2 linked regions of the Callithrix jacchus genome follow. The protein of the gene in region 1 interacts with the protein of each later gene in a pairwise test. Links are inferred from orthologs where the notes say so. Each region holds a gene or a part of one and is shown in the gene's direction. Other genes may lie near its edges.

The links. The genes of interacting proteins can lie anywhere in the genome.
Region 2: the proteins of EGFR (region 1) and ANXA1 interact in binary tests that used the Homo sapiens proteins (3 or more experiments, as listed by UniProt). The link is inferred for Callithrix jacchus from reciprocal best matches to the Homo sapiens genes EGFR and ANXA1.

Annotation. Positions count from the first base shown.
Region 1 is NC_133512.1:22,668,003-22,672,737, forward strand, and holds part of EGFR (epidermal growth factor receptor), read left to right. Parts: intron 1-487; coding exon 488-849; 3' UTR 850-4,735. UniProt on the Homo sapiens protein: Receptor tyrosine kinase binding ligands of the EGF family and activating several signaling cascades to convert extracellular cues into appropriate cellular responses.
Region 2 is NC_133502.1:91,671,488-91,676,222, reverse strand, and holds part of ANXA1 (annexin A1), read left to right. Parts: coding exon 1-4; intron 5-1,841; coding exon 1,842-1,921; intron 1,922-2,534; coding exon 2,535-2,591; intron 2,592-4,165; coding exon 4,166-4,259; intron 4,260-4,735. UniProt on the Homo sapiens protein: Plays important roles in the innate immune response as effector of glucocorticoid-mediated responses and regulator of the inflammatory process. Has anti-inflammatory activity.

The DNA of each region.
Region 1 (4,735 bases):
ACCACACACATACATACATACACATATACAACTACGCCACATACATACACACCAACACATACACTATACATATACATACACATACACATACACATACACCACACACGTACACACACACCACGCACATACACAGGCACACATACACACACTGCACATACACATACCACACATCAGACACACATACCATACACACACACCACACGCATACACACCACACATACATGTACAGACATATACATACACACACTCCTCAAGCAGGCTATTCTCTGATAACCTTAAATTTACAAAAGACAGATGTCCATTACCTTGAGAAGTACAGGAAAGAACCCACTTTCCTTTCTAGCAGCAGCAGGAGGGTCCTCCCAAGGCTCCTGCTCCCTGTAGTAAATCACCTTGTTGAAGACATTCACAGGGTTGGGAACCTGGGGCTCCTGCATGGGATGGTGCTTTGCTGATTACTTCACCTCTGATTTCTTTTCACTTTCAGAATACATAAACCAGTCTGTTCCCAAAAGGCCTGCTGGCTCTGTGCAGAATCCTGTCTACCACAATCAGCCCCTGAACCTCGCGCCCAGCAGAGACCCACACTACCAGGACCCCCACAGCACCGCAGTGGGCAACCCCGAGTATCTCAACACTGTGCAGCCCACCTGGGTCAGCAGCGCAGTGGACAGCCCTGACCACTGGATCCAGAAAGCCATCCACCAAATCAGCCTGGATAACCCTGACTACCAGCAGGACTTCCTTCCCAAGGAAGCCAAGCCCAACGGTATATTTAAGGGCCCCACAGCTGAAAATGCAGAATACCTAAGGGTCGCACCACAAAGCAGTGAATTTATTGGAGCATGACCACAGAGAATAGCACCAACCTTAAAAATCCAGACTCTTTCAGCACCAGGACCAAGCACAGCAGGTCCTCCATCCCAACCGCTATGCCCGCGTTAGCTGTCAGACCCGCAGACTGGCTTCCCCAGCGTTGACACTGATCAGTCAGGAAGTGCCTCCACTTGGGGCACACTTGGCAAGTGGCAGATACATTCCTTTGTTTTCGAACTGTGAAGCTTTTACAGAAAGGCATCCAGCAGGAAGTTCTGAGCAGAAGTTTATCTTTCAAGGAGGTATATTTGAAAAAAAAAATAAGTATGTGTCAGGATTTTTCTTGATTGGGATCTTGGGGTTTTTAATTGTCACTATTGATATTTACTGCAGTAAGCTCTTCCAACAGGGAAGAAGCTTGCTGGTAGCACTTGCTGCCCTGAGTTCATCCAGGCCCAACTGTGAGCAAGCCACACAGGCCTCAAGTCTCCAGCAGCGATTTGATTCCAGCGGTTCCGCTCACGGCTTCCGCCCCACAACACTAAAGGTCCAAGAATCCCTTCATGGCCCCAGCAGGCCACATCGGTACTGTATCGAGTCATGGCAGGTACAATAGGATAAGCCACTCTGTCCCTTCCTGGGCAAAGAAGAAACAGAGGGGATAGAATTCTTCATTAGACTTACTTTTATAAATATGTCTCCACGGTACTCACTCCCCGCTGGTTGACCAGTGTTTTCCGGTCGTGAGTGTTACACTGACTCGTCTGTCTTCCATTCCGTCATTTTGAAACTCAGTATGCTGCCCCTGTCTTGCTGTCACAAAGTCAGCAAGAGAGGATGACACATCCCATAATCACTCGGATTCCAGCCCACGTTGGATTCATCAGGGTTCAGACCAGTAGCCCACATCTGAGAATGCAGAATACCTAAGGATGGCGCCGCTTTTGTTCTCACAGAAATACATCTCCTAATTTGAGGCTCAGATGAAATGCATCAGGTCCTTTGGGGCATAGATCAGGAAACTGCAAAAATGAAGCTGCTCTGAAATCTCCTGTAGCCATCGCCCCCAACCCCCACAATGAGTTTAGGTTACTCATGGAAGATCATTTTCTCCTTTTACTTCACTTTAAAAGCTTTTTACTCAAAGATGTTCCTTCTGCTCCCCAGACCCCATCCTTGCCCTTTGTCAAACAAAAAGTGTCTCGGCCCTGAGGCAGCTATTCAAGCACTTACAGCTCTGGCCGCAACAGGGTGTTTTACAGGTGCAATGAGTAGCATTAGGAGTAGTGTAGAATTCAGGGGGTAAATAGGAAACCAGGGTTTGAAACTGATAATGCTTTCACAACATTTGTAGATGTTTTACAAGAAGAAAGTTCCTTTCTAAAATAATTTCTCTACAATTGGAAGATTCGGCTAGTTAGGATCCCAGCTTTCCTAATCTGTGTGTGCCTTGTAACCTGACTGGCTAATGGAAGTGCTTTGAAAGGAGCCTTTTAAACTCTTCTAGGCAATATCCACCAGATCCAATTTATCAAGGAAGAAATGGTTCTGAAAATATTTTCAGCCTACAGTTATGTTCAGTCACACACACGTACAAAATGTTCCTTTTGCTTTTAAAGTATTTTTTGACTCCCAGATCAGTCAGGGCTCCTATACTTTTGTTAAGAGAATATTTGATTTTTGTCTCGATGAAAATAAAATTACATTCATTTCCACTCCATTATGCTCTCAAATACCCCTAAGTGCCTATACCAGCCTGGTATGGGTATGAAAGATACAAACATAAATAAAACATAGTCCCCGATTCTGAGAAATTCACAATTTAGCAAAGGAAATGGACTCATAGATACTAACCTTAAAACAACATGACAAATGCCAGACAGGGCCCGTCAGCCAGACACTGCGAGCACAGAGCAGGGACATTGGGTCCTACCTGAAGAGACCTGGAAGGTTCATCAGGAAGGCCTCACAGGAGGATGACCAGTTCTCAGCCACAGGAGAGGTGGGAAGTTCAGTTGCAGCAGGGGGGGACCTCGACCAAGGAAACAGCTGTCAGAGGCCTCCACTGCTGGAGTCCATGTAAGGCTGAGGTCAGTTGTCCCAACAACCCTCTCCCTCTAAGCTACGGGATGACCTTGGAGCATCCCACAAGTTCCTTGAATGTTGTATCCTGCTGGGGGATTTTGAGCTCTCATCTCTGCACGTGCTTAGTGAGGAGACTAAGCCACATTTCTAAGACTCTGAGATTTTATATCATTGTCAGTAAACCACTTTCATTATCCATTCACCTCAGGACATACAGAAATATTTCAGCCAGAACTGAGAAACAGAAGGACCCACATTCTGCTATCACTTGTGTGTCAAGAAGCGGAAGATCAGTGAGGCACGTCAGTTGTGAGTCACATTGTTGCAGTAAATCCTAGTATTTTTGTAGTTTGAAACACTAACATAATAAAAGAACAAACGCTATTCTAGCTTTCTTCTCATTCATATTTTAATTTTCCAGTGTAAAGTTTAGTTGCTAAATTCTATTAATTTTAAGATTGTACTTCCCAAAATAGTTCTCACTTCATCTGTCCAGGGAGGCACAGTGGTCTGCTTGGCAGAAGCTGCAAAGCCACGAGCCTCTCCAAGGATCTGGCCACCATGGTGCGCAGGTCAGGAAAGGAGCTGCCCAAAGTCCCATGATTTTCACCTAACAGCCCTGATAGGTCAGTTCTCAAAGCTTGGACTCCATCCCTAAAGGTCTTCCGGATTGCTAGCCTGGCCTTAACACACTACAGAGAACCTGTCAGCTGTTTCTTCCTCAGTCAGTTCCTGGAAGACCTTTGCAAGGACTTCACCTTCAGATGTGACCTTTGGAAACAGAGGCCACGGGAAGGTAAGGAGCTGGGAGCTCCCATTCACTTTGTGTGTCTTCTTGCATCATCTCCAAGGAGCTACTGTAATTACACCCTGCCGGTCACCTCATGAGGGATCAAAGAAGGGATGAGTCTTCTAAACTCTATTCTCTGTGAGTCTAGGTTGTAAGGAGGAGCACTGTGGACGCATCCTACTATACTCCAGCTGACGAAAACCAAGCTTAGGTGTTTACTGAAAGTTCTTGATTTTGTGATTTACCACCCCCGCCCCCCCACCGCCTCACAACAGCAGACATAAGGGGACTGTGGATTGCTTAGAGCAAAAGGCACTGGTTCTCCAGCGTGGCTGCCGTTGGCAATCTCCGGGTCCCAACCAAAAGTATTGTGGCTTGATTTTCTCAGGTGCAGCCCGGCCCTAGGGCCTTGTCAGAGCACCCCCTGATTATTGCAACCTTCATCAAAGTTTCCAGAACCACTGGCCTAAGGGAAGGGCCTGGTGGGGGTCTGCTTGCCGCTCGCTGGAGGTCCTTCCAGCCAGTACCACTCTCACTAGGCCTCTGATTACACCTGTGTAGCTTCAGGCTGGTGGGTGATGGGGACTCGGCACCTCCCCTCAAGCACAAGAGAATCACCTGCAGAGCTTCAGAAGAGGGGGCCTGGAGTCTCTGCAGACCAATTTAACCCAAATCTCAGGGGCGCTCTCATGATTCTAATGGGTAACCAGGGTTGAAGCCCTTATCTCTAAAGTCTTCAGTTCAAGACTGTGGGTCTGTACCAGGGCCTCCAGTCAAAGTAGAATAAAAGGCTGGGTAAGGTAGAGGTTCCCATGTGCAATGGAGAGAACAATTTGCAGTCACTGATAAGCCTGAGACTTGGCTGCTAGCGGCCGTTCCAAAACGCTCCAATTCATTTTCACCAGCAGATCAGCTGGAAAGGGGCAAATACCCCCACCTGAGCCTTGAAAAACGCTGGGACCCTCTGCATTCTCTAATTAAGTTACAGAAACCAGTCTCTTCCCTCCTTTGTGAACGAGCTACTATTCCATGTAGGCAGCAGGT
Region 2 (4,735 bases), on another chromosome or scaffold:
GAGGGTAAGTTGTAATGTCCAACAGTCCAAATGCCTTAGTTGAAAAGGAAATCTGAAATACTTTCTTAAAATTAAATGTGTATGTTAATTATGGCAACTTTGGAATCTCTACATACCGAAATGTTTCTTTATTGTTTGGCACATGTCTATTAAATGCTGTTACCAGGCAACACACGTTGCTAGGTTGTTGACAAGGGAGATGGTGTACCAATCCGCATCAAGCTTGTGTTTTAATAGAAAATGATCCTCTAGGATAAATGACCACATACGATTATAACGGAAACTTCAATTCAGAGCATTGAATTTAAATTTTTTTCTGAAAAATATTTTTCTGTTTTTCTGGAATACTTTTAATAAAAATGTCGCAATGCCATTTATTTTGAAAAAAGTATAACAAAAAAAAATCTTTTAACAAAATGTTCTTCATTTGTTCTTGAAAAAGTAAAGAATTGGGTGCTTATAATTCTCTGTTGGAAACCTTAACTTTATTGTTGTGAACATAAGCAACTCACTCTTTATCATTTGTTAAATTCATGAGAATAAAAGACTAGTTTAGCTTATTTTATCTCTTCAGTGAAGCATCTCATTTAAATGACATGCTCAACACTGAAAAGAGCATAATTGCAAGTCTGTTACCATTTTCCTTTTCTCATTTCCCTGAGCTGCTGGCTTTTTTGCTTTCCCAACCCAGTATGTGGCACATAGAACTTTATGCTTGATTCTCATACCAAGCATGGAGAATACAATAGCTTTTGCATATCGTTTTTAATGAAATTTAATAAAAAAATAAAAATAAGGAAGCTTTTAAACCTCATTTTCTTATTGTATCAATGATAATAATCAATTATTTTTTGTTTGATAAAACACAGTTTATAAAAATAAATGTTTATATTTTTTCATTATGCCAAGATATAAGCCATTGATAGCTTATTAAATTGCCCAGTTTCAAGTTGTTTTAGTCCCTTTATGTTGCTATAAAGAAATACTGAGACCAAGCAATTTATAAAGAAAGGAAATACCGTATAAGAAGTATGGGACCAGCATCTGCTTCTGATGAGGTCCTCATACTGCTTCTACTCATGGCAGAAAGCAGACAGAAGCAGATGTGTGCAGAGAGAGAGGGAGAGAAAAGGAGATGCCAGGCTCTTTTCTTTAAGAACAGCCAGTTCTTAAAGAAACTAAGAAAGAGAACTCACTCACACCAAGCCATTCATGAGGGATCTTCCCCCATTATCCAAACACCTACCGTCAGTCCCCACCTTCAACAATGGGGATAAATTGCAATATGACACTTGGCAGGGCCAAACAATATCAAAACCATAGCACTAGTCAATTATAAATTCAATTGACTTTTCCTATCGCAGTATTATTTTACATAGTTAAGTGGAAGTGTTTACACACACAAATCATCAAACTACATTACTTATATAAGACATTTATAGTTTTTAAACTAAATAAATTGCATTCAAGTAAGTACCTCCATTTTTGTTCTTTTAAACAATTACTTATTCTACTGCTTAAATTATGCTATGTTATATTTCAAAATTAATTGCTAATGCATACCTATACAATTTATTCTTAACAAAAGCTTTATGACTGAGTTTTCAATCACAGTGTTACATAAATTTCTCCCGTTGCTTCATATGAAATAAATTAAATGATCCAAAAATTAACCTGCTGTAATTTTTCTCTTATTTAAAAATGATGATATTTTGCCACAGTGTTCCACAAATCATTGAACATTGTGGCATGGTGAATTTTCAACCAATTTAGAGATGTCAGATATTATTATGATTATTCATCACTGGTTTACTGTAAAATCTATTTTCCTTTTTTCTCAGAACTGAAGAGAGATCTGGCCAAAGACATAACCGCAGACACATCTGGAGATTTTCGGAATGCTTTGCTTTCTCTTGCTAAGGTACAACTCAGATCCTGTAGGTAATGCCTCTTGTTATATAAAGAGTAATTTTGTAGTCCATTTTGTGTTGCTATAAAGAAAAGTCTGAGACTGGATAATTTTTTTAAAAAAAATGGTTTACTTGGCTCATGATTCTGATGGCTAAAAAGTTCAAGACTGGGCAGCTGTGTCTGGTGAGAGCCTCAGGCTGATTCCACTCCTAACAGAAGAGGAAAGGGAGCTGGTGTATGCAGAGACCACATGGCAAAAAAGCAAGCAAGAGAGAGAATGGGGAGGTGCCAGGTTCTTTAACAATCAGCTCTGGTGGTCTCATGAACAAGAACTTATCCCCCAGAGATGGCATTTTTCTCTTCGTGAGAGATCAGCCCCAGGACCCAAATATCTCTCCTTAGGCCCTGCCTTTAACACTGGAATCAAATTTTAACATGGGGTTTGGAGGGGAAGAACATCTAAAACCATTGCAAGTAAAATCTTGGATCTGAGCTCTTTCTAGAAATGAGTAATAGAATATGTTTTTCTCAAAGAATATTATTTATCTGAGTTTAAGAGAATTAAGTAAATCATGCAAGTACATGCTAGAGAAGAGTTTACAATAGAATGGGATTTCTTTCAGGGTGACCGATCTGAGGACCTTGGTGTGAATGAAGACTTGGCTGATACCGATGCCAGGGTAAGCAAGTGCTTACAAAATACTGCTGCAGTCCATCTTCCTACCTTAGGTTGTGCTACCCCATGATGCCCTGTGAAAGTAAATCTAAGATCTTCTGAGAGACCAATGGCTTGTTAATGTTCATTTCCTGAATGAGGCATGCCTTTCTGTAGCCCAAGAGAGAAAAAAAATGTAGTCTTTAAGTTTTCAATATCTCTCATTATTCATCAAACCAGAGAGAACTGAAAAAGAACAATACAAATTTGATTTGTCATTCCCAAGAATTGTTTGTTGAAAAAAAACCTCTGAACTCTTATTGTACTAGGTATAAGAAGGGGAGAAGTAATTTTTTTATTATGTGTAATGGAAAGAGTAAACACATTTAATATTATTTTTAACAGAAAACATTGGAATGGTTTATAGATGTCAATTTATAATGCTAAAATATCATTGTAATGATATTAAATTAATAATATAGGATAAATTATAATAATATAGACTTTCTGACATATTGTTTTATATAGTTTCAGTGACATTGCTGGTTATTTATATACCAATCCACTCGCAACATAAGAAAAATCATACCATCTTAAGGCCTGGAATTTCCTCTTTAAACAAACAAACATGCAACTATAATTTGCATTATGCATTCTCATGGAACAGTATTCTCTAGATAATTCATTACGATGATTCACTAAGAACATATTTTTTGCGTATCTTCATCCACTTCTGCTATACCAGTACATTATCATGCACATAATAGGTACTCACTAACTTTTTGTTGAATAAATGCATACATTTCAGATCAGTTTGCTTGACAAGTGCAAAATAACTTTTATGTACATTGGAGGTTTTATCATTTTAATAGAAATTGTGCAAACATATTAAAGAACAAGAATTAGCATTGAATAATTGCCCATAATAAAAAATTCTTATTTGCTTTTGACACTTCTGAATTTACTTTCCATTTTAAGACTATCAGGGTTCTTACTACATATGTATGAAGGCTACATGGATTAATGTGACCCAAGAGAATGATGGTAATTAACATTCCAAAGTTAATAGACACTGCTTATGATAATAGGGCAGGTATTACGTTTTCCATATATAAAAGAAAAAAAATCTATACTTTAGTAAGGTTCAATTATTTGTCTAAGATGATAAATTGCAGAGTCGGAATTTGAATCCAGAAATTCTAACATCAAAATGCAAGGTCCAGGTTATGGTTGAATTATTGATTTATAAGTAACATTTGTTGATAATTACTTCAACATAGAGTAAGAAATCCTTTTAGAGATCCCCTTGGAGTTCTCTTGATATAGAGCATAATCTTAAAGCCATTTAGTTCAGCAAACATTTATTCTGCAAACATATATTCAGTCTCTAGTGTTTACAAGATACCTTGAGAGAAACTGTGGAAGATATTTGACAAGCAAAATAAGGTCCCCATCTTTAAAGAACTTGAAATCTTATTGTTGACTACTCTGATTGTATTGAGCACAAAGCAACTGCCTAATCTTTGACAAGGTCTAATATTCTTGTGCAGATATTACTTCAGCAGATAGTGAAGTATTTACTTTTGTGTTTCTTGACAGGCCTTGTATGAAGCAGGAGAAAGGAGAAAGGGGACAGATGTAAACGTGTTCAATACTATTCTTACCACCAGAAGCTATCCACATCTTCGCAGAGGTAACAAGAAAATTTTTTTCTCTGGAATCTGTTTATGGAAGATGTAATTTTCTTTTTTGAGGAAAAATAAGAGAAAGTAAAAACAGAAGACTTTAGCAATGTCTCTCCTGTATCAAATGGCTATAGTATTCCTGATCCATTATTGTTATTTGCCCATTGTCCAATTTTATACAGTCACTATTTTATAATATTTAATACCATTTTGTGACTTGGGCATGTGGAATATCATTTCATTATTTTCACTGCTTTTAATTCCCTAAAAGCTTTGGAATATATGTGGAAAAAAGACATGCATAACAGAAGAAATGAAATTAGAATGAAGAAAAACAAAACAAAAAACCCTCAGAGTTAAATGAAGAAAAAAATATGTAGGTGCTTTGGAAAAACAACAAGACAAAAATCAGAAATAGGTCTAGCCTTTGAGCACAAGATTTAGCTCAGCCTCTCAGAAGCCAAAGCAATGGAAAAGTAATGAT